2 linked regions of the Mytilus edulis genome follow. Each later gene encodes a partner of the first gene's protein in a complex. Links are inferred from orthologs where the notes say so. Each region holds a gene or a part of one and is shown in the gene's direction. Other genes may lie near its edges.

Region 1 (10,473 bases):
ACAACAACAAAACTTACATTCTCTACTCCCCGTACAACAACAAAACTTACATTCCCTTCTCCCCGTACAACAACAAAACTTACATTCTCTACTCCCCGTACGTTAACAAAACTTACATTATCTACTCCCCGTACAACAACACAACTTACGTCATCTTCTCCCTGTACAACAACCAAACTTACCTTCTCTACTCCCCGTATAGCAACAAAAATTACATCATCTACTCCCTGTACAACAACAAAACTTGCATACTCTACTCCCCATACAACAACAAAACTTAAATTCTCTACTTCCTGTACAACAAAAAAACTTAAATTCTCTACTCCCTATACAACAACCAAACTTGCCTTCTCTACTCCGAGTATAACAACAAAACTTACATAATCTACACCCCGTACAACAACAAAACTTACATTATCTACTTCCCGTACAACAACAAAACTTACATTATCTACTTCCCGTATAACAACCAAACTTACATCATCTACTCCCCGTACAACAACAAAACTTAAATTCTCTACTCCTTGTACAACAACACAACTTACGTCATCTTCTCTCTGTACAACAACCAAACTTACCTTCTCTACTCCCCGTAAAACAACAAAACTTGCATACCTTACTCCCCATACAACAACAAAACTTGCATACTCTACTCCTCATACAACAACAAAACTTAAATTCTCTACTTCCTGTACAACAAAAAAACTTACATTCTCTACTCCCCATACAACTACAAAACTTACATTATCTACTCCTCTTACAACAACAAAACTTACATACTCTACTCACCGTACAACTACAAAACTTACATTTTCTACTCACCGTACAACTACAAAACTTACATTCTCTACTCCCCGTACATCTACAAAACATACATTCTCTACTCCCCGTACAACTACCAAACTTACAAACTTTACTCCCCGTACAACGCCAAAACTTACATCATTTACTCTCTGTAAAACAACAGAACTTACATTCTCTACTCCCCGTACAACAACAAAACGTAAATTATCTACTCCCTGTACAATAACCAAACTTACATTCTCTACTTCCTGTACATAAACCAAACTTATTTACTCCACACTCCGTACAACAACGAAACATACATTCTTTACTCCCTGTACAACAACCAAACTTACATACTTCACTCCCCGTACAACAACCAAACATACATTCTCTACTCCCCTTACAACAACAAAACGTACATCATCTACTTCCTGTACAACAACAAAACTTACATACTCTACTCCCCGTACAACAACCAAACTTACATACTCAACTCCCTGTACAATAACCAAACTAACATTATCTACTCCCTGTACAACAACAAAACGTACATCATTCATTTCCTGTACAACAAAACTTACATACTCCACTCCCCGTACAACAACCAAACTTACATACTCAACTCCCCGTACAACAACCAAACTTACATTCTCTACTCCCTGTACAACAACCAAACTTGCATACTCGACTCTCCGTACAACAACCAAACTCCCTGTACAACAACAAAACTTACATACTCTACTCCTCGTACAACAACCAAACTTACATTCTTTACTCTCTGTACAACAACCAAACTTACAAACTCTACTCTCCGTATGACAACACAGCTTACGTTCTATACTCCCCGTATAACAACGCAACTTACCTTCTATACTCCACGTCAACAACCAAACTTACATTCTCCACTCCCCGTACGACAACAAAACTGACATACTCTACTATTCGTACAACAACAAAACTTAAATTATCTACTCAACGTACAACAACAAAACTTAAATTTTCTACTCCCTGTACAACAACCAAACTTACATACTCTACACCCCGTACAACAACAAAACTTACATACTCTACTCCCCGTATAACAACACAGCTTACCTTCTCTACTCCGAGTATAACAACCAAACTTACATAATCTACTCCCTGTACAACAACAAAACTTACATTATCTACTCCCCGTACAACAACCAAACTTACATTCTCTACTCCCTGTACAACAACAAAACTTACATTATCTCCTCCCCGTACAACAACAAAACTTAAATTCTCTACTCCCTGTACAACAACACAACTTACGTCATCTTCTCCCTGTACAACAACCAAACTTACCTTCTCTACTCCCCGTATAATAACAAAAATTACATCATCTACTCCCTGTACAACAACAAAACTTGCATACTCTACTCCCCATACAACAACAAAACTTAAATTCTCTACTTCCTGTACAACAAAAAAACTTACATTCTCTACTCCCCGTAAAACAACAAAACTTACCTTCTCTACTCCCCGTAAAACAACAAAACTTACCTTCTCTACTCCCCGTACAACAAAACGTACATACTTTAATCCCCGTACAACTACAAAACTTACATACTCTACTCCCCGTACAACAACCAAACTTACATTCTCTACTCTCCGTACAACAACAAAACTTACAAACTCTACTCCCCGTATAACAAAACAACTTACCTTCTATACTCCCTGTACAACAACAAAACTTACAAACCCTACTCCCCGTATAACAACACAACTTACCTTCTATACTCCCCGTACAACTACAAAACTTACATACTCTACTCCCCGTACAACTACTAAACATACATACTCTACTCCCCTTACACGACAAAACTTATATACTATACTCCCCGCACAACAACAAAACTTATATACTCTTCTCGTCGTACAACAACAAAATTTACATACTCAACTGCCCGTTCAGTTCTCTACCCCATTTGCAACAACAAAACTTACAGTCTATGACTCCCCGACCAGCAAATCAAATTTTGTATAATTTGTACGTAGGACTACAGACAGAAGGTCTTTTGTTATAATATACAAATAGTATAATAAACACTAACCTCTTAACAGACAAAAACATCCTTAAAGTTTCTATGATTTTTTTACTTCCCCCTTACCAATGCGTTAATCTTTTCACTCATACATGATAATCGTATACAATACCTTCTTTGTCAATTATTCCCACTTTCTCTTCAACTCGTTGCTCCTATTTTCTGAAACTGCGATAAGATGAAGTATACTTATACTATGACTTTCATAGGCTTGTTATACCATAACTTATCATCCACATCTATTCGAATTCGAATTTAAAGTGTGCTGTCACATTTTTCGTTGTAAAACAATGTGTGTATGTGGTCAGTAAAATTGTTTTTATTTTTATCCGTCTCGGTTTTATTGACAGATACTTTGCCACATTATCCCGGTCATATATTTTTTTAATTACTATTAGCTATCACTGTCGTTAAAATGTATCTGTTGATCGAATGATGTACTGCTGAACATCCAAAAAAGCCGGAGCATACTAAACATAACTTCCAATTTTAACCTTCAAATGCAAATAGTTCTTATATATTATGGATTAAAAAAAAGTGGCAATATGTACAATTATAGGTAACTTATGCAAAGTTGGAAGGATGACATGCATGCGGATACTGTATACTACAATCTTGGGGCAAAGTTTGGATAGAAGTAGAAAACTTGTATCAGACCCCTCCAGTGGCTTATCCAGCAATTTTTGAAAGGTGGTTCCAACCCTGGAGAAAGCAGTTTTTAAATATGTATCCCTATGCAAATGCATAGATTTCATTGATGTTATTTAAAACAAATCGGATGTCAAGTCGTAAATAAAAAAAAAACATTAACTTTGAGCTGAAATATAAGGAACTTACAGGCTTAATCCAAGCAATAGACAATGCTTTAAACTCACTATCAGAATTGTTTTCATGGATTATGACTTGCATATATAAATTACATAAAATCTACAACTGCGTCCTCGTTTCTCAAAAGTGACCTACCGAAATGGACTTATCACCGGGTTTGTACTAACATCATCAACACGACCGGTGCCACGTGTGTAGCAGGGTCTGCATACTCTTCCAGAGCGAGTAAGATCACACATGTCCCTTTCCCCGCCAAATACCAGATATGATATCTGATGCTCCGGAATGGTACTTCTGTTTCTACTTCTGCCAACGAACTATTTATACTGGCATGTGTTTGGTGCACATACCATCCCCTCTCTTAATTTTAATCTAGTTCAACCCAGGTCAAATAGCGTTCAAATATCGTATGGTTCTTCGGAAGAATGAGGTTTGCGATAATAACAGTATGTCGATGGTACCTGGAAGAATTTGTCGTGCATATTTTTGACAGTCGTTTTTAGTTGAAAGAGGCGACCTCCCTTTGGCATTGCGACTTTGTTGTTTCTATGTTGTTGAGCAGGGTTATTCTCGCTTCTTTCCTTCTTTGATCTATGGATGTCCTTTTAAGGTGTTTGAACATCGCACTACTAACGTTTCAGTGGTTATGATGTTTGTTGGATACATAGCGAACTCCTCTTCTTTTGGGTCATCTCGAGTCTGTCAGTCTCTGTCTTAAATTATAGATCCCATCCTGGAATGGCGTATTCTACAATTGGTCGTAATAGTGTTTTGTAGGCATTCTCCTTTACTAAAATTGATCATTTGTTTAAATTTATTTTTAGGAAACCAATTGTTCAATTTGTCTTGTTATTTAATATTTATATTTTTCATTTATACATTATCATTCCCTCTGTGTTCTGATGTAAATTTGCAGTCTTATGTATATTGCACTTCTGACTGATTCAAGAATATGATCATGTAAGCTCTATGAAGTTGTAAAACCTGTGAATCTTTGTCTGATGATATTGTGAGGTAAGCTATTGTATCATCTACAAATAGTCGGACAGTAGATGTAATCACTTAATGTAAAAGAGGAATAGTGAAGGCCCAAGTACTGAGGCTTGTGGTACTCCAGACTCTAGTAAGACTACATCAATATGTGATGTGCTTTCTCCATCCACAACTTCTGCTTCGACTTACGAGACAGAATGCTTGCAATCCACTTATTGACTTTTCCTTCGATACAGTGTCCCATTTTATGTATAAGGTCTTCAACACGGAGCCTTGGCGCACACCGAACTGCAAGCTATAAAGGGCCCAAAAAATGACTAGACTTAGTGTAAAATCATTAAAACAGGAAAACCATGCCAACAGTCTAATTGAAAATCTGAAACGAGAAACGAGAAACACTTATGAACCAAATCAACAAACGGCGACTACTGAACATCAGGTTTCTGACTTAGGACAGGTGCAAACAAATGCAGCGGGTTTAAAACGTTTTAATAGGTTTCAACTGAAACAACGTATGTGTAACATTACAACATAGAAAGACGCACTATGAAATATAAATTGAAAAGTATTAACTCAATCAATTAAATAATAGGCAGGGGGCGGATCCAGCCATTTTAAAAAGGGGAGTTCCTAATACTGGATAAGGGGGGGGGGAGGGAACCACATGTCCCATTCACATATGCATTGATCGTCCAAAAAAGGGGGTTACAACCCCCCCCCCCCCTTTTCCCTGGATCCGCCACTGGTAATTGAATCTAGGCGTTTTATCGGACCATCATCAGTGATCTTGTTTTTTAAAATTAAAACAGTGCTATTAAATTGTCTCCAATGATCTGTGCCAAGATTGGTAATGATCATCCAACTCGGTTTTTGGTTTACATTTAACCCCTGTCAAGGATTTGTATAGTGAGACTATACAATTAAATCCTTGCCCCTGTGTATTATTATTTTGTTAGACGACAGAGGGAAGTTTTCGTAATGTCGCGCACCGAATTCCTATAAACACGTGATCACATTCTTAGCTGTTCTATAATAATTACCCACTTCGTAAAATATGTATGAAATATAAATATATTATTTGTTATTCTATATTATTTATTGTCTGTAGCTTAATTTGTAGTCATCAATAATTTATTGTTTAATTATACTATGTCGTGTTAAATCAAATATCAAACTATCAATAAAACGTTTTCAGCATTTATTATTTGCCTGGGAGGAATTTATAAACGGAAGTGGAAAAGCGGATGTTGTGACTAATGAGTCCGGAAGCGAATTATTCACTAGAAATATTACAAACATTCTGAAACAGGTTGGTAGGAATTCACGTCGAACATAAGTCTTTGCGTTTCGCATCAATAGAAAAGAATATCTTTACCAAATAGTTCAAGCAATTGTATACTATTTTATCCTGATAGCTGCACTGTGTCTGTGTAGCAAGGCATTTCATTTTCAACCATTTGTCTGGGCTGCTAGAAAAAAAACAGGCTATTAATTTAATACTTATTAATAGTATAAAAGTATTAATGCATATTTATAAAAGTATTAATACATATTTATAAAATATAAAATGAGCATTCGTAATTTCGCTCTGTGTCCATATAAGAGGGGGGATAGGAGGGGTCCTGATCCTAAAAATCCCGGGCTTAAAAACATGAAATCCCGAAATTCCGGGGTTAAAACACGAAATCAGGAGGTCCCGAAATTTCGAAAAAAGAATTCCTGGATCCCGAAAGGGTCAATCCCAAAATCCCAAGCTTAAAAACACCCGATCCCGGAGTCCTATTAAAGGCCCAACCCCCCTCATATACAAAATGTAGGGTCAAAATTGTAGTTGAAACAAATATATTTTAGGTACTGCCCTTATTACGCTTGGCTAGGGCAGTAGACTCCTACTCCTAGCTGCCAAACTGTTGCTCTTATCTGTATCGTTTCCTCGAAAGTACCAATACTAGCTTGAACTCGTAGGGAGAGAGGGCTCCCATAATTTGACAGCGTTGGAGAGCTGTTTTAAAGTCCTCAACTGACTTGGCGCACACAATGTGTATATCTTTTTCGAGATGGTTCCAATGAATCGCAGTCTTGATGAAGAAATTGCTCAGTTTTACAGTTTGTTGTTTCAACTGCCTTTGAGTTGTTTTTTACTGAGTTGGTAACTATATTTGGGCTTTAAAATCCTTTTAGTTTTGCCTTTAACTAAAAATTTGTCAGGTTTGATACCTGGGACCAAACCCTCAACCAATTTATTTAGAAATACCAGTATTTGGCTTGTTCTTCTGGACTGTCAGTTTTCAAGTTCTTTCTTTGGATTCTTTCTAGTTGGTTGATGTTGTTCTACAGTGTATGTATAAGGGTTCGATTCAATTGCATCATATTCCATCATAGATCTAGCCAATGAAAGCCAGGTATACTGTTTTCTTAAAAAAAAAAAATTTGGTATGATAATGATTGGCATTGCCAATGAGACAATTCTCCACAATAGACCAAAATGACACAGAAATTAACAACTATAGGTCACCGTACAGCCTTCAACAATGAGGCCTAAATTAAAATATTGTTTGTTTGCCCTTTTCCGACCCTATGTTTTGAAACAGGGTAGGTAGGTAGGTACAATATTTAATTTTTTTCCCCAAAAAAATAACTTGGCTCGGTATATTATTTGTCATGTGTAGGCAGGTAGGTAAAATATTTTATTTTATAGATACAAAATCTGCATAATGTCATTTTTTTGTCCGTTTTGTTTTTGCAAATAAGTTTTCCGCTGGGACTATTAGTTTTGAAAAAAAAATATATAAGAGATAACTTTGTACTGGTAAGATAATGTCCGGGCAGACATATATGACTAGTAGAAAAAGTCCCTAGAGTGTTACAAATTTCGTGTGTGCCTTTTTTTCCAATAAAAATGCTATAAGACTTAAAACTCGATTGTCACGTATTTTGCATCACATTTATAAATGATCTGTATGGAAAACTTGGCGATTTTACTGCCAGATATTCTCCACTTTACAGGGTTTTGTCACTTTTGGTTCATGTCAGATATAAATAATTTAGCAGCATCGTTAACATAATCATTCTGATATGCGGATCACAAAAGGACATCCCTACATAGAATACAACGTCCGTTTACAAATTAGTTTGTACACACGTTAATACTTTTGTATCAAACGAACTTTTTTGTAAATGAACCCTGCTCTTTAAGTTTAAAGGTACAGAGTAACGTACTTCATATCATGATTTCAGAAAGCGTTCAACATCGATTTCAAACAAATGCTTTGAAACTTCAAATGCAAGTGTTCATGTCAAACGCTCAGGTGATACCAAACGGACTGGACCTTATACGTAAAGATAAAACCCGAGGATTCCGGTAAAAAAGTTTTGAGCGGGAAATACAAATATAAGATTTTTGGTAGGAACGAAAAAATAAAATAAAATAAAATCTTGCTGGTAAATACAAATAAAAGATTTTCAGGCGAAACGAATTGATAGGGTCGGTCGGTAAAGGGCAAACAAACAATATTTTGATTTAAGCCTGAGCAAAACCAATTACGCATAATCAGCTATAAAAGGCCCAAAATGACAATGTTAAACAGCGCATACCCCTGTCATTGGCCCATGTTTCTAGGCTAACCAGATCTAGTTATAAAAGAGTGTGGTCCCATTGTGTTTAAATGTTTCTGTATAGCAGACAATCATCAGCAAAAATATATATTTTTCTCATCCCTTGGCGTCGTCGTAATTAACTTTTACAAAAATCTTCTCCTCTGAAACAACTGGGCCAAATTTAACCAAACTTAGCCACAATCATCATTGGAGTATCTAATTTAAAAATGTGTCCAATAACCCTGCCAACCAACCAAGATGGCCGCCATGGCTAAAAATAAAAAATTTGGGTAAAATGTAGATTTTAGCTTATATCTCTGAATTTGATAATAGATAGAGATAAACTGTAAACAGCAATAATGTTCAGCAAAGTGAGATCTACAAATAAGTCAACATGACCAAAATGGTCAATTGGTCCATTAGGAGTTATTGCCCTTCATAGTAAATTTTTAACAATTTTTCCTAATTTTTTTTTATCTTTTACAAAAATCTTAGCCTCTGAAACAACGAAGACATATTTGATCATATTTAACCAAACTTGTCCACAATAATCATTAGGGAATGTTGTTTACAAAAATGTGTCTGATGACCCTGTCTGCGAACCAAGCTGGTCGACATAGCTAAAAATAGTACATACGGTAAAATGCAGTTTTTGGTTCATATCTCTTAAACCAAAGCATTTAGAGCAAATCTAACTGGATTATATTGTTCATTAGGTCAAGATCTATCTGCCCTGAAATTTTCATACCATTCATACAACCCTTTGTTGGGTTGCTGCTCCTGAATTGGTAGTTTTAAGAAGATTTTGCAGCTTTTGGTTATTATCTTAAATATTATTAAGATAGAAATAAACTGTAAACAGCAATAATTTACAGCAAAGTAAGACCTAAAAATAAGTCAACATGACTAAAATGGTCAATTTTTAACAATTTTCATAAATTTTGTAAATTTTTACAAAATATTTTCCACTGTAATTACTGGGCCAAGTTCATTATAGATAGATATAATTGTAAGCAACAAGAATGTTCAATAAAATAAGATCTACAAACACATCATCATCACCAAAACATGATTTTGTCATGAATCCATCTGTGTCCTTTGTTCTGAAACTGAAAGCCTCTTTTTCGATAAAAGGGTTGCGTTATTTTTTATTTGTAACATTTATTGACCAACGTATTATTTTGTATACTACATTTTGTTGCTCTTGTTGCACACAATGTGCCTGAGTGTATTAATAAACTTGTCTTGTCTTGTCTTGTTTAATATGCACATAGACCAAGGTGAGCGACACAGGCTCTTTAGAGCCTTTAGTTATATAATAAAGGACTGCAGATAGTAAAAAATATTCTAAGAACCTAAGAGCTACAAAATTATGGGAAATATTTGAAAAATACTGGCTAGTTTCTAGGAGCATTATTGGTTTCATTGTTACATTAATTTTTATTCAGAATTTCTTTCAATGGCTGTTCATAGCAATTAATTAAGAACTCTAATCTTATTAATAGGTAAATTAATGCTACATGCATTTGATCTTACTGAATGGTAAATAATCTTAGACTGTCTGTTGAGTTCAAAAATCAAAATAGAAATATTTCTGTAACATGAAGACATGAACATGTTCTTGTCATTTGCTTTCAATGCTGGATATGATAGGACCACTAATCAGTCTAAATAGTTTCCATATCATCAAATTTTCTATTGAGACACTATTAGATTCTGATTGAATACAATGGAATAGAAGTAAGATGATTGATAAAGGGGAGCCCTAGTTGTTTTTTGCATTTGACTAATTACTTATATATAATTATGTTTACATAATATAATCTTTTTTCAGAATAAAGACACAATGGCATTGAATGCCCCACAAATGGGGACACTTCAAGTCCGTTGGGATCCAAAGAATTTGGAAATCAAAACAAAGTCTGTAGAAAAAACTCTAGAACCATTAGTTACACAGGTAAAATTGTCTTTTAGGAACATATGAGACTTTTATACATTCATAAATTATTGGTGGTTAAATCTATTTAAACATGTTAAATTTAGTGCCTTGTGGTAGACATGTTATGCAGATTTTTTCAAAATCATCAATTTTCTGTTACAAAAAAATGGCAAAGCATGCTGATTAAATACAGACAGTTTACTTTATTTTCGGTTGTCTACTTAGCTTTTTTAAATTCATAATTGTTAATTTTACAACACTGCA
Region 2 (11,034 bases), on another chromosome or scaffold:
GTTCACGACACCCAGCCTGTAGATCAGGCCAAAAATAGTAACAATTACAATGGAACACTCTGTGAAACGTGTCATTTTCGAAAGGAAGATCGAGAACATTTTCTTTTTGAATGCATACTTTCCCATCGTGTATTTGCTTTGATAGCCGTCTTTTGGCTAGTGAGATCATTTTATCAGAAAAGTCTATACCATATATTTTACCATTGCCACCTGAAGTAAAAAAAATCTAATATTAAACCTTAAAAATATGAACTACTGTTATTGTACAATTGTGATAAGAACAAGAGCACATTACATTGTATGTAAACAAAAAAATAAAGATAGTTTACGAAATAATAAAACAGCTACAAACAAATAAATTAAATAAAAGAGGTATCCATACCCCAAGTCCCGTGAAATTTACATCTTTTTTTAACAGACTTTCAACACACTCTTTCTCAAAAATATACATACATGTATATATCTCATTTATTAAGACAGGCACATGTCTCTGGAACTTGAAAACGCGTGTTTTATGAGGGTCTGGAGGTTGGTTCTTCATATCCGTATGCTTAAATTTTTAATCTTCGTTTTTCTCTATTCTTTATATGAAGGGCGAAATGGTGTACCTTCATGACGAATAACGCAAGAAATCTTACGAAATGGGGTACCTTCATGACGAATAACGCAAAAAATCTTGCCAAATGACGTGAACGGTAGTTTTTGGTGAATGACGATAAAATAAATCACTTTTTCTTTTTCACACAAAAAACGGTAACCATAATTATTTGGAACCTCTGATGAATCACGATAAGGATATTTTGACGAATCACAGTAACATTTTCGTCAATATCAAGCTAGCAGAAGCCGAAAATGAGCGTTTGACGACTGACGGTAAAATATTATCCAAATCCTCCCGAGGCACCTGTCGGAACTTCCAATTGATTTGGGATTTTGTTTGTATATATATATTTGTCTTTTATTTACTTTTCACTTTATTAATAAAATTAATGGTACCAATTTTCTTGCACCAGATGCGCATTTCGACAGTACACTGTGGTAAAAAAAAACACGTCTCATTTCCATATGTTTGCCATATTTCACGTCTGAATTATTTTGTACTGCATTTTCGATTAATTTCTAAGAAAGAAAATTAACATTGACATCTTCAAACAATATATATAGGCATATTTCAACCTGTATAGATTATATTTAATTTTAATATGACGTGCTTCGTTCGCTTTGTGGACAAACCGATGTTCTAAATCCAATAAAATTTGTTTGCACATGCGTATATTGACTACTGCAGAATAATGAATTTTTTCAAATTGGCATGCATTTAATATATTTCATTGACTTAAAACACTTCCAAAATTCATTTATTATGACAGTAATGTGTTGCATTCCGAAATTGACATATTTGACCTAGATACGACAACCATTCATTTTGACTGTTCAAACTCCTCCCTCTGAAAAATCACAGTGCAAGTCGTTTGCTTCTTTACAAACAAAAAAGTGAGGTTCATGGAAGAGCCTACACAAACGATCTACACTTATACACATCAGACATAGAAATTACCTTAATTGTCCTAATCAGAATCGAAATAATTGATGCAAACTATACTTTATTGTAGTTTTAACATAGTTAGGCATTATATTCGTGTTAGTTTAGCCCTCACTATCGCTCGGGCAAAAATAATCACGAATATAATGCCTACCCATGTTAAAACTACGATAAAGTATACCTCGCATCAATCATTTTTTAGATTAGATTGGACGTTATCCCAATCTAATTAAAAACCGATCTCTCACCGCTCCTGTTTCTGATATGTCGCGTAGGAGATCTAACGAAACCCGCTTTGAGGTCACATGGGAGTGACCTCGTAGGTGTGTCTTTTTCGACCAATGAAATCGAGTCTTCCACGATCTTGGAAGTTTAACGTAAGGCAAAGGGATGTAACTCATTTTATTTACGACGAAATCGTCAGTCAAAATAATTCATAAACTTTTTTGATTGGCTTATTAATAGGTCGTCAACTCATTTGCATATCTTTATAAATTCATAACTTTTAGTTCACTCGCATGTGACCTCAAAGCCGGTTTCGTTAGATCTCCCACGCGACATATCAGAAACAGGAGCGATGAGAGATCGGTTTTTAATTAGATTGACGTTATCCCAATTACAATTATACAATATACAAACAAAGCAAGCTAGCTAACAAAAGTCTTACTTTACCAGCATTTGGAAATTATCTATCAAGTGGTCTTTAAGGAATAAATGAGATGAGGGACCCCAATCTAGACCCTCGTGAGAATCGCCTTACCCGTCACATATTTACAAGCTCACCTGTCACATATTTACAAGCTTACCCGTCACATATTTACAAGCTTACCCGTCACATGTTTACACGCAGCTTCAAGTCCAACTCCTGGTCCAAACCCGACCTCTAAAACATTGTGGTGTGGTTCAATCTGACACAGTTTTACAGCACTTTCTTCTAAAATCACATTTCGTCTCAAAAAGATATTCTGAATTTAAAATTTAAAAACAAAATTGTTGATGTGATTGGTGTCAAGATGTTAATAAGTTTCAAAATTTTCTTTTCATAACCTGATGGAAGATTTAAGATGTGAACAATACATCTGATAAAAATTAAGCAACCTATATTATTTTTCTCGTTTGAATTGGTTTACATTGTCATTTCTGGGCCTTTTATGGCTGACTATGCAGTATGGGGTTTGCTCATTGTTGAAGGCCGTACGGTGACCTATAGTTGTTAATGTATGTGTCATCTATGGGTTGGTGGTAAATAACCATATTCTAGGAACAATAAATATGATTTCCGTATTATCTCTGCTTTATTAAAATTGTAAACGTATGCATGGTGGTTCTGTGAAAGTTTCAGCCTTTAATTAAAAGGAATTGTGTTTATCTATAGCGTGCAATCATAAGAAAATAAGAAATACCACACCTCTTGATGTGCTTAGTACATAATGCAGTAATTTTGGACATGTCCAAAACGCACGGCTTCCGTTACGTTTTAAATTCAGTTTGGATATTATGTCTGAATTCGAGGTTTTACCATACATGCAAAAATGTAAAAAAATCATTTAAATACAGTAAAATGGGTATAATTATTCATAAAACTTCGAAGCGTGATAGCATCCTTGTTAATACAGGAAGCAGTTACAAAGCAATAGACCACTTTCGAGTTCATCCGTCACCGGAAAAAACTCGTCAATTATACGCGCCTTTATCACCGTCATTTTTGCGTTTAGGGGCGTCGTCACTTCCTTCCAATGTTGAGCGAGTGGTTGGAAAACTATAATTCTATATTGTACGAATTATTCGGCAAATTGAATTCTCAAAATTGACAATCAACACTGCTGTCATTAGGGAATTGTCAGTAAGTACCTACAGAGCAACCATTATTTCTAGGTTATCCTGCACAAAGACGATCACTAAGACGCTTGATGAACGTAAATAGTGCAGGGATACAGGCGAGCCCCTCTATCTGGTAAGTGACGTCATAAAGGCGTGCATAATTGACGAGTTTTTGCCGGTGACGGATGAACTCGAAAGTGGTCTATTCGATTCATTTCATATTGAAGTACTGTCAATTTGTATTGCAGCATTCTGATGTACTATAGTATATATTAAGACAAATATTTACCTTCGTAACATACCAACCAAAGAAGCCACTTCCAGGTTTCCGCAGATTCTGTGCTAAATATTCTCTAAAGATATTAGTCATCCTCCTGAATATATGAAAGTATATAGATAGATATAAGAAGATGTGGTATGAATGCCAATGAGACAACTCTCCATCCAAGTCAAGATTTGTGAAAGTAAACCATTATAGGTCAAAGTACGACCTTCAACACGGAGCCTTTGCTCACACAGAAGAGCTCAGCAAGCTATTTAGGGTCCCAAATATTACCAGTGTAAATCCATTCAAACGGGAAAATTAATGGTCTAATTTATATTAAAAACGAGAAACGTGAAACAGTTATATATGAACCACATCCAGGGGCGGATCCAGCCATTTTAAAAAGTGGGGGTTCCCAACCCAGGACAAAGGGGGGGGGGGGGGGGGGGGGGGGTCCAACTATATGTTCCCATTCAAATGCATTGATCGACCAAAGAAAAGGGGGGTTCCAACCCCCGGACCCCCCCCCCCCTGGATCCGCCAATGACATCAACAAACTAAAACTACTGCACATCAGATTCTTGAACATAGTTATCAGAATAAAAATAAAGAAATTTGTTGAGGTTTTCAAAGGGATTAAAATTTGCCAATGTGCACAAGTACAATGTGCTTATCAAGGGTTTGAGGTATGTAGGGGGGGTTCTGAGACAAGTGCCTGTGTTTGAGGAAAGGGAGGCGCAATTTTCCGAAAAAGTTATTACCAAGGGTAAGCCGTTTACACCCCCTGAATCCTCCACTGATGTCATAATACCATTATCGTCAGCAAATAAAATGTACAAAAACAGTGCCTACTAGTTATCATGAGTAATGAAATAACAGTACTGTAACTGAAGAGTTCTCGCCGTCAATTAGCAATTTGATGGTAGCAAATGCAATTGGACTGCATTTTGATTTTCTGTAGAGGAAGTAGGGATTTTAAAAATGATTGGATTGGCCTGGTCACACTAGAAAAACATAATTTTGATGATGTAACTAGATGCTCTTAAGAGCCTGTGTAGCTCGCCTGTCACGTGCATCTTCAACAATGGATATTCTACAAAACTGTACACGAACAAAGTTAATGATTGAACTCTCTTTTTTAAGGGGAAAAAGGGGGATATCGTGTTGGTGATCATTATTTTTCTGTTTACACTATCTCCCTTTCTTCTGTAGTCCCCCTCCCCAAACACAAAACAAATGGTAAAAAAAAATGTCCTTTATAGGCAACAACTTTTATGACTGACACTTCTTTCTTAATGCGGATCTTGTATTGCTTGTCAGCTTAGTATTTTAATGTTTCGAAGCATCTATTATAATGCGAAAGTAATAGAATGAAATTCAAAACAGCGTGGCTGTGGCCATTGATTGACACATTAAATTCATCCATTGACCGGGACAATTTACGTGAACGTTTGTATGTAACGACCACTGTTCACGACGTACCTACGATAGACTTTTAAACTGTGGGGTCACCAAAGGTTTCTTAACGCCTTTAATTATAAAATAATTCGAAAAATTAATCAGGAATAACCTTTATGTTTTGATTTATATAATTGATATAAATCAAAACATCGTGTTATTTCTGATTAATTTTTCGAATTACTTAATTAAGGCGTTGAGAACCTTTGGTGACCCCATAGTTTAAGTGTCTTTAAAAAGTACATAGTCAGTGGCGGATCCAGAAATTTTCATATGTGGGGGCCCACTGACTGACCTAAGAGGGGGCCCGCTCCAGTCACGCTTCAGTGATTCCCTATATAAGCAACCAAATTTTTCCCAAAAAGGGGGGGCCCGGGCCCCCCCTAAATCCGCCTCTGATAGTGAGCAGTGGTCGTTACATACAAACGTTCACCTAAATTGTCCCAGTCAATGGATGAATTTAATGTGTCAATCAATGGCCACAGCCACACTGTTTTGAATTTCATTCTATATAACGCCAAAAACTGTTATTGAAAGTCATCATTGTCAAGAGCAATAACTACAATAAGGAATCGACTGCATGACAATTTCATCCATTTGGCATGTTCGACACATTTGAAGTATCTTTTTCGTGTTGATTATTTCTGCTATTAAAAGCGTCTAGTATTTATCTACTATAGTTTTTATGATATAAACTGGCAATCGCACATAAACATTGATAAAATTAATTTCGGGGGAGCAAGATTTTGATGGTCAAGGGCATTACTACCCTTATGAAAGTTCATTATTCAGAATATGAATAAAATTTCTATCAAACCATCGTAACCGACATATATTTTTTTCTTTTATTGGAGGAAAAGGAACGACAAGGATTATGTTTTTTTTCCTGAAAAATATTCTGATCCCCCAATTGGATGAAAAAAAATTCTGGTCAAGCAGATAACAAAAAAAATATTCTGAATGCAGATTTCCCCTATACCTAAAATATACAGTCATTGTGTTGAATTTTGGAGAGAAAAAAATTACCCAGAAAATAACATATACCTCCTCCTTTTTAACTCTTTTAGAAGTTAAATGGTTGTTCCCTCACAAGACAACATAACTTTATTGATTCACATTCTGTGCATTTTCAAAATATTTTGACTTTGCACCCGACTATTTTTATATAATAAAACAAATCAAGGATTTGTACAAATCCCGAAGTTGAACAAATCAATAATCATGCTGTATAAAAACCAAACTAATTTTACTCGAGGGTCAAACAAAATACAAAAAAAACCCAATAATTCTATTTTTTTTAATTTTTTTTATTGTTATGGGTGTTATTTTATTTTATTGTAACAGTAATATGTGTTCAATTGTAACAAACCGTGATGCATGAGGAAAACATGGAAAGAGTATTTCTAAACAATGCGGATGAATTCGACTGTTAACCTTTTATTTAATATTGCAGTCATATCTAGTATTTCCTTATTGTAAAAATCATGAGAATAATAAAATAAAATATTTTTCATGTATATTAATTCAATTTTTAAAGAGAAAGACAAATATTACATGACCATAGAACTATTTTTTAATGTATAATTTGGCCTACAGGTAAATAGGTCAAGTAACAGGTGCTTGTTTAAGAGCGCATGCGTGACAGATTAAATTGAATCGCCATCTTGGAATTTGAATGATTCAGTTCTGCTGTAATGTGAAGTTAATTTCAAGCATTCAAAGATTGTGTTTGTAAACTGAGTATTTCGAAAGCCACCTTTGGTTCAAGGCGGCAGTTATTTTCGGTAGGTACTAAGTAAAGGTATACAACAGGCCAATATTCCCTTTGTGACCTATATTTTCTCGAACCAAGTTATTCTCCTTTGTTGACGGTTGGGTGTTCAAATACAACGGCTTACTCTCTGCAATACAATAAATAATACCGGTAGTTGCATAGTTGCACAAACTTGGGGTCGATGGAAAATACCCGTAGTAACCACAATATAAGGTTTGCTACTTGCATGAAAATAATTTCAAAAAGGGGGAAGTGACAAGTGGACGAAAATTTATGATACATGCGAAGTATGACGCATGAAATTACCGGCGTCAGAAATTTTATAGCTGGTGCTTTATGGTCAAACCTTTGGTCCTGTTCAACTAAAAATCGTGACTAGAACAAGGTTTTTAGAGCATGGCAGGTACAAGTCTAAATAATGATGAATGAAGTCTTGATAGGCTATTTTATGTTTTTGCTTTTGCCCTGGCTTTGACTATCTTGTTAAATAAAGTTTAAATTTTCTTTTGAATTTCAACTGAAAGAATGAGCGTTGTGAAGTTGCAGGAAGGCGTCAAAGCAAAAAATAAAATTGTTTTTAATAAATTTATTTGGACTAGGCTGGTTACCAGGTACTAACTATAGTCACCGTCAGCTGAAATTCGTAGCGGTTATCGGTAAAAATAATCTAAACTATCAATCGCGTTCACTCGAGATATAGTTTTTCACATTCCATTCATAAATCGCAAAAAGAAAAACCACTCTCGATCGATGTTCAATGATCATTTTATTTCTAAAAATATGACAGTTTGAAACGAATTTACCTTGCAAGCAACATTTTTCACTTTCAATTAAAATAAATCACTTCTCGTTATCTTTAATCAAAGTTTATTTTAATTTTTTCAACTACAAATACTCTCATTCATAATTTTCATCGTAAATATCTTTAGCAATGTGTATTCAATTCCCAGTGATTTTCCAACCCTCATTTTGGGGCCGAATTTCGGCCCCATTCCCAAAGAGAAATATGCTCTTTTTTTCCCAATTTTCAGCTCTAAAATTCCCAATCGTATATGGACATCGTCGCGAGATTTTGTTATTGTCGTATCTCCGTATCATGTACTATTTTGTTGACAAATCTCTGAGCGTTCGGGGTATTTCGGGAGTTATCATTATCGTTCACTTAAGACTATGATTGGTTTGCAATCTTTTTTGGATTGCATTGCATTGCAATCTACGATATTCTGGTCACGTTTGCGCTTGAAACATCCGAATGAATAATTCAATGACAAAGCAAAAAAATGAGACATAATGTAAACAAAATGAACGTAGATCATGTCTCATAATTCCAAATATTACACAAAGAAGCTAAAGGCGGCGGACGGTAGTAAATGCTGGAAGCTGAAAGCTTTTGGATTCAAAAAGTCGTTTCTACTTCCTTCTGATGAAACAAGTGAAAGAAGGAAAAGACCGACTCTCAGATACAGAACTGGAACAACTAGTTGACATGTTTAAAAATAAACATGAAGGAAAACTTGGAATTTTAAATAAAACTAAAAAATAAATGCTTCAGATTTCAAATGTGTCTTTTTAGAATTTCTATAGATTCTCATCATTATAAATAGAATCAGAAGGGATAGGTTGAATTTTACCTTTCAAGAGTAAAGTTACAAAGCTTGAGTGCATGCAAATGTGTCCTCAGACACATTCAACTTTTATTTTTAATCCTTTTCCTTAAAAAGATAGCTTATTTTGTACGCAATTCATGCAGTTAATCCTTCTCAGAATGCAGGATTTTGCACCTAATTTTCAAAATTTTCCAAACCCCCCTAGCGAGGCGCACACGGCTTACGCCGTGTGCCCGCCCTCGTAAAGACCATTCATATTTTTCCCAAACCATAATTTTTTTCCCAATTGCATGGGCCCCAGGACCCTTCCCCTAAACACCAGGAAAATCACTGATTCCATCACGTGTATTGAACAGGTTCATTGGTCGTGTTTAAATAGATTCTTCTTTAGACCAATGAAAAAATTCGTTATATAAATAGTCAAGTAATCACACACACGATGCCTAACTTAAATAGAATGTATTTGCGATCTATTTCTTCAATTTCTGCACTGAAGTTTTTAATTTTTTTAATTTTTTCTAAAAATATCTATCTTCTTGATGATCATTTACGCTATTACATGATAACATAGTCCGATAAGGCTGAGATAAGCGTGGCTCAGGTAAAACTATATTATCAGATATTGCGTAACACTGAGTGACCTCTCAGCTGTGATCAGCATGTCAGCAACTTGACAATTTTAACAAATTTATAATGAAAATGTGAAAATTAACACGCTGCGGGATCAAGTAGTGAGGGACAGCAGCCAATTCAGACGCTGCGGGATTAACGAAAATATTATGAAGGCGCTGCGGTACCCCAGCATCATATCGGCCTGAGGAGAACACTGAGTTAATATGAATGTTTTGATATATCGTAACAGTTTCAGACAGGTATTGATTTCAAAGAATATAAAGCTGACTATTTTGTCGATAAAACTAGATATATGTAGCTGACATGATTTCAATTAAAGTAAGGTCACCAATTTCCTGGTATCAAATAATTTGATAAACCCAACAATGAAATGCCATATGACCTTTTACATTGAAGGGTTAAATTTGCATTAAGTCATGTTCAGACCCTTTAACAGAAAATAAAGGAATATGGAGAGAACGTGCACGGGGCCTGATCGCACTCAAAGTCGATGAAAAAAATACAAATTATCAATCCAAGTGGTCAAAGTTTTTATTTCTTTTCTTCATTTTGATAGTTGCTGGAGGGTCTTCAACAATAAAAGAATCATTAATACTGTTAAAACAAGGTCAAGATGGTCCCTAGTGTCAACTTAAGCAGTACAAGTACTGAAGGTATAATACTGCATTTATTTTTTTTTTATATTTTAATCTAGCCATAAAAAAAAATCACCCAAGTCTTAGCACAAGACAAGATAGACAGACAGATCCTGTATTTATGATTATGAGAATTACAATTTTTGCTTTATCCTACATATCAGTCTTTTAATGTTGTCCCTAAAATCTACAAGTCTTAAATTACAATGAATCAATGTTTTTGTTTTGAGACCAGAATATCATCGAAAAAATAGCTAAAAATTAATTATGTTTCAATTTAAGAAAGAGCCTAGGAAACGCTCAGAATGCACGATTTTGCGTTATTTCCTCAGAGCTTTCCCTTGAGCAACCCCCAGACCCCTCGCCAAAATTTTTTTGCCTCACTGCGCTCTGCGAATATATTTTACCTCACTATTAAAAGAGGCTAGTTAGGCCCTGTCCTCAAAGTTCTTTTGTTGGACCATACTCTTTCATGTATGAATTTAATTCCTTATTTGGAAGGAGAATGAACTAGTTCTTTTGATTATAATACTATACTTAAGCGGTAGTTTTATTACCAGAATATAATGTGAAACAAATATTAAAGCAAATTGGCATGAAAATGAGATTTTCTCTAATAAAATATTTTTCAACCTAAACCCGTATGATGGCTTATCTGCCATTTCAGTGTACACAAATGTACATTGTTGGTCATGTCTGGCAAATATAATCATTTCCAGACCCTTTGGCTGTATACAGTTACTGTACACTGTTACTATACAGACACATGTCATGTTTGTGTTTTTCTCTAATGAACTTGACTTGCTTGATTTATAGACACTTGCACTTTTAATTTTGGTACACTTTTTGGAGCAGAGCTGCATGTACAACATGTAGTTGAATTAACCAGCACATGACAAAGTCAATTAATGTGCCATATTTGCACTTTGAGCCAATGCACCCAAACTAAAATAAACTGAAATTCTCACTATATTAAATTTTGAAAAGCAATTAACTTGAAATAACACCATATTAAAAAGTTTCACAATTTAATACCTGCTTTGGAACACCTGGGGCACATATCAAGGATAAGCATAAAATTTAGTGATTTTCCAATATTTTGAATGCTGAAAATTCATCAAGTACATGTATTTAAATAACATCTTTCAAATTTTATATAAAAATATAGACTAACTGACTGATCTTGCTCTCTTTGGCTTGCAGTCCGACAGCTGTTGCATCCAATCGCTGTTACTAATATGTTCAACATGACAATATTGCATATTTAATTTAATGAGCTATACATGTACATGTCAAAT

Evidence for each region. The genes of interacting proteins can lie anywhere in the genome.
Region 2: the proteins of catenin alpha-2-like (region 1) and catenin beta-like are in contact, whole or in part, in a crystal structure (PDB 5XA5), measured with the Caenorhabditis elegans proteins. The link is inferred for Mytilus edulis from reciprocal best matches to the Caenorhabditis elegans genes hmp-1 and hmp-2. Residues at the interface, in NP_505985.1 of Caenorhabditis elegans: Asn20, Val21, Gln24, Gln27, Leu28, Glu31, Val32, Ile35, Glu37, Thr38, Phe39, Pro40, Leu41, Lys42, Thr47, Leu50, Val51, Thr53, Leu54, Ala57, Val58, Asn60, Phe61, Thr64, Gly65, Ala68, Cys72, Leu85, Met99, Gly103; in NP_001252426.1 of Caenorhabditis elegans: Ser47, Ile48, Val49, Glu50, Met51, Met52, Gln53, Pro55, Thr56, Gln57, Gln58, Leu59, Lys60, Ser62, Val63, Met64, Asp65, Leu66, Leu67, Thr68, Tyr69, Glu70, Gly71, Ser72.

The regions. Positions count from the first base shown.
Region 1 is NC_092347.1:75,450,345-75,460,817, forward strand, and holds the start of catenin alpha-2-like, read left to right. Parts: upstream 1-5,872; 5' UTR 5,873-5,982; intron 5,983-10,104; 5' UTR 10,105-10,116; coding exon 10,117-10,227; intron 10,228-10,473. UniProt on the Caenorhabditis elegans protein: Required for cell migration during body enclosure and cell shape changes during body elongation. Required for proper localization of other junctional components, such as pac-1.
Region 2 is NC_092357.1:59,222,197-59,233,230, reverse strand, and holds the start of catenin beta-like, read left to right. Parts: upstream 1-6,662; 5' UTR 6,663-6,871; intron 6,872-11,034. Other genes in the region: uncharacterized methyltransferase YdaC-like, read right to left, coding at 1-210, 2,373-2,508, 3,654-3,734. UniProt on the Caenorhabditis elegans protein: Required for cell migration during body enclosure and cell shape changes during body elongation. Plays a role in recruitment of the cadherin protein hmr-1 to adherens junctions.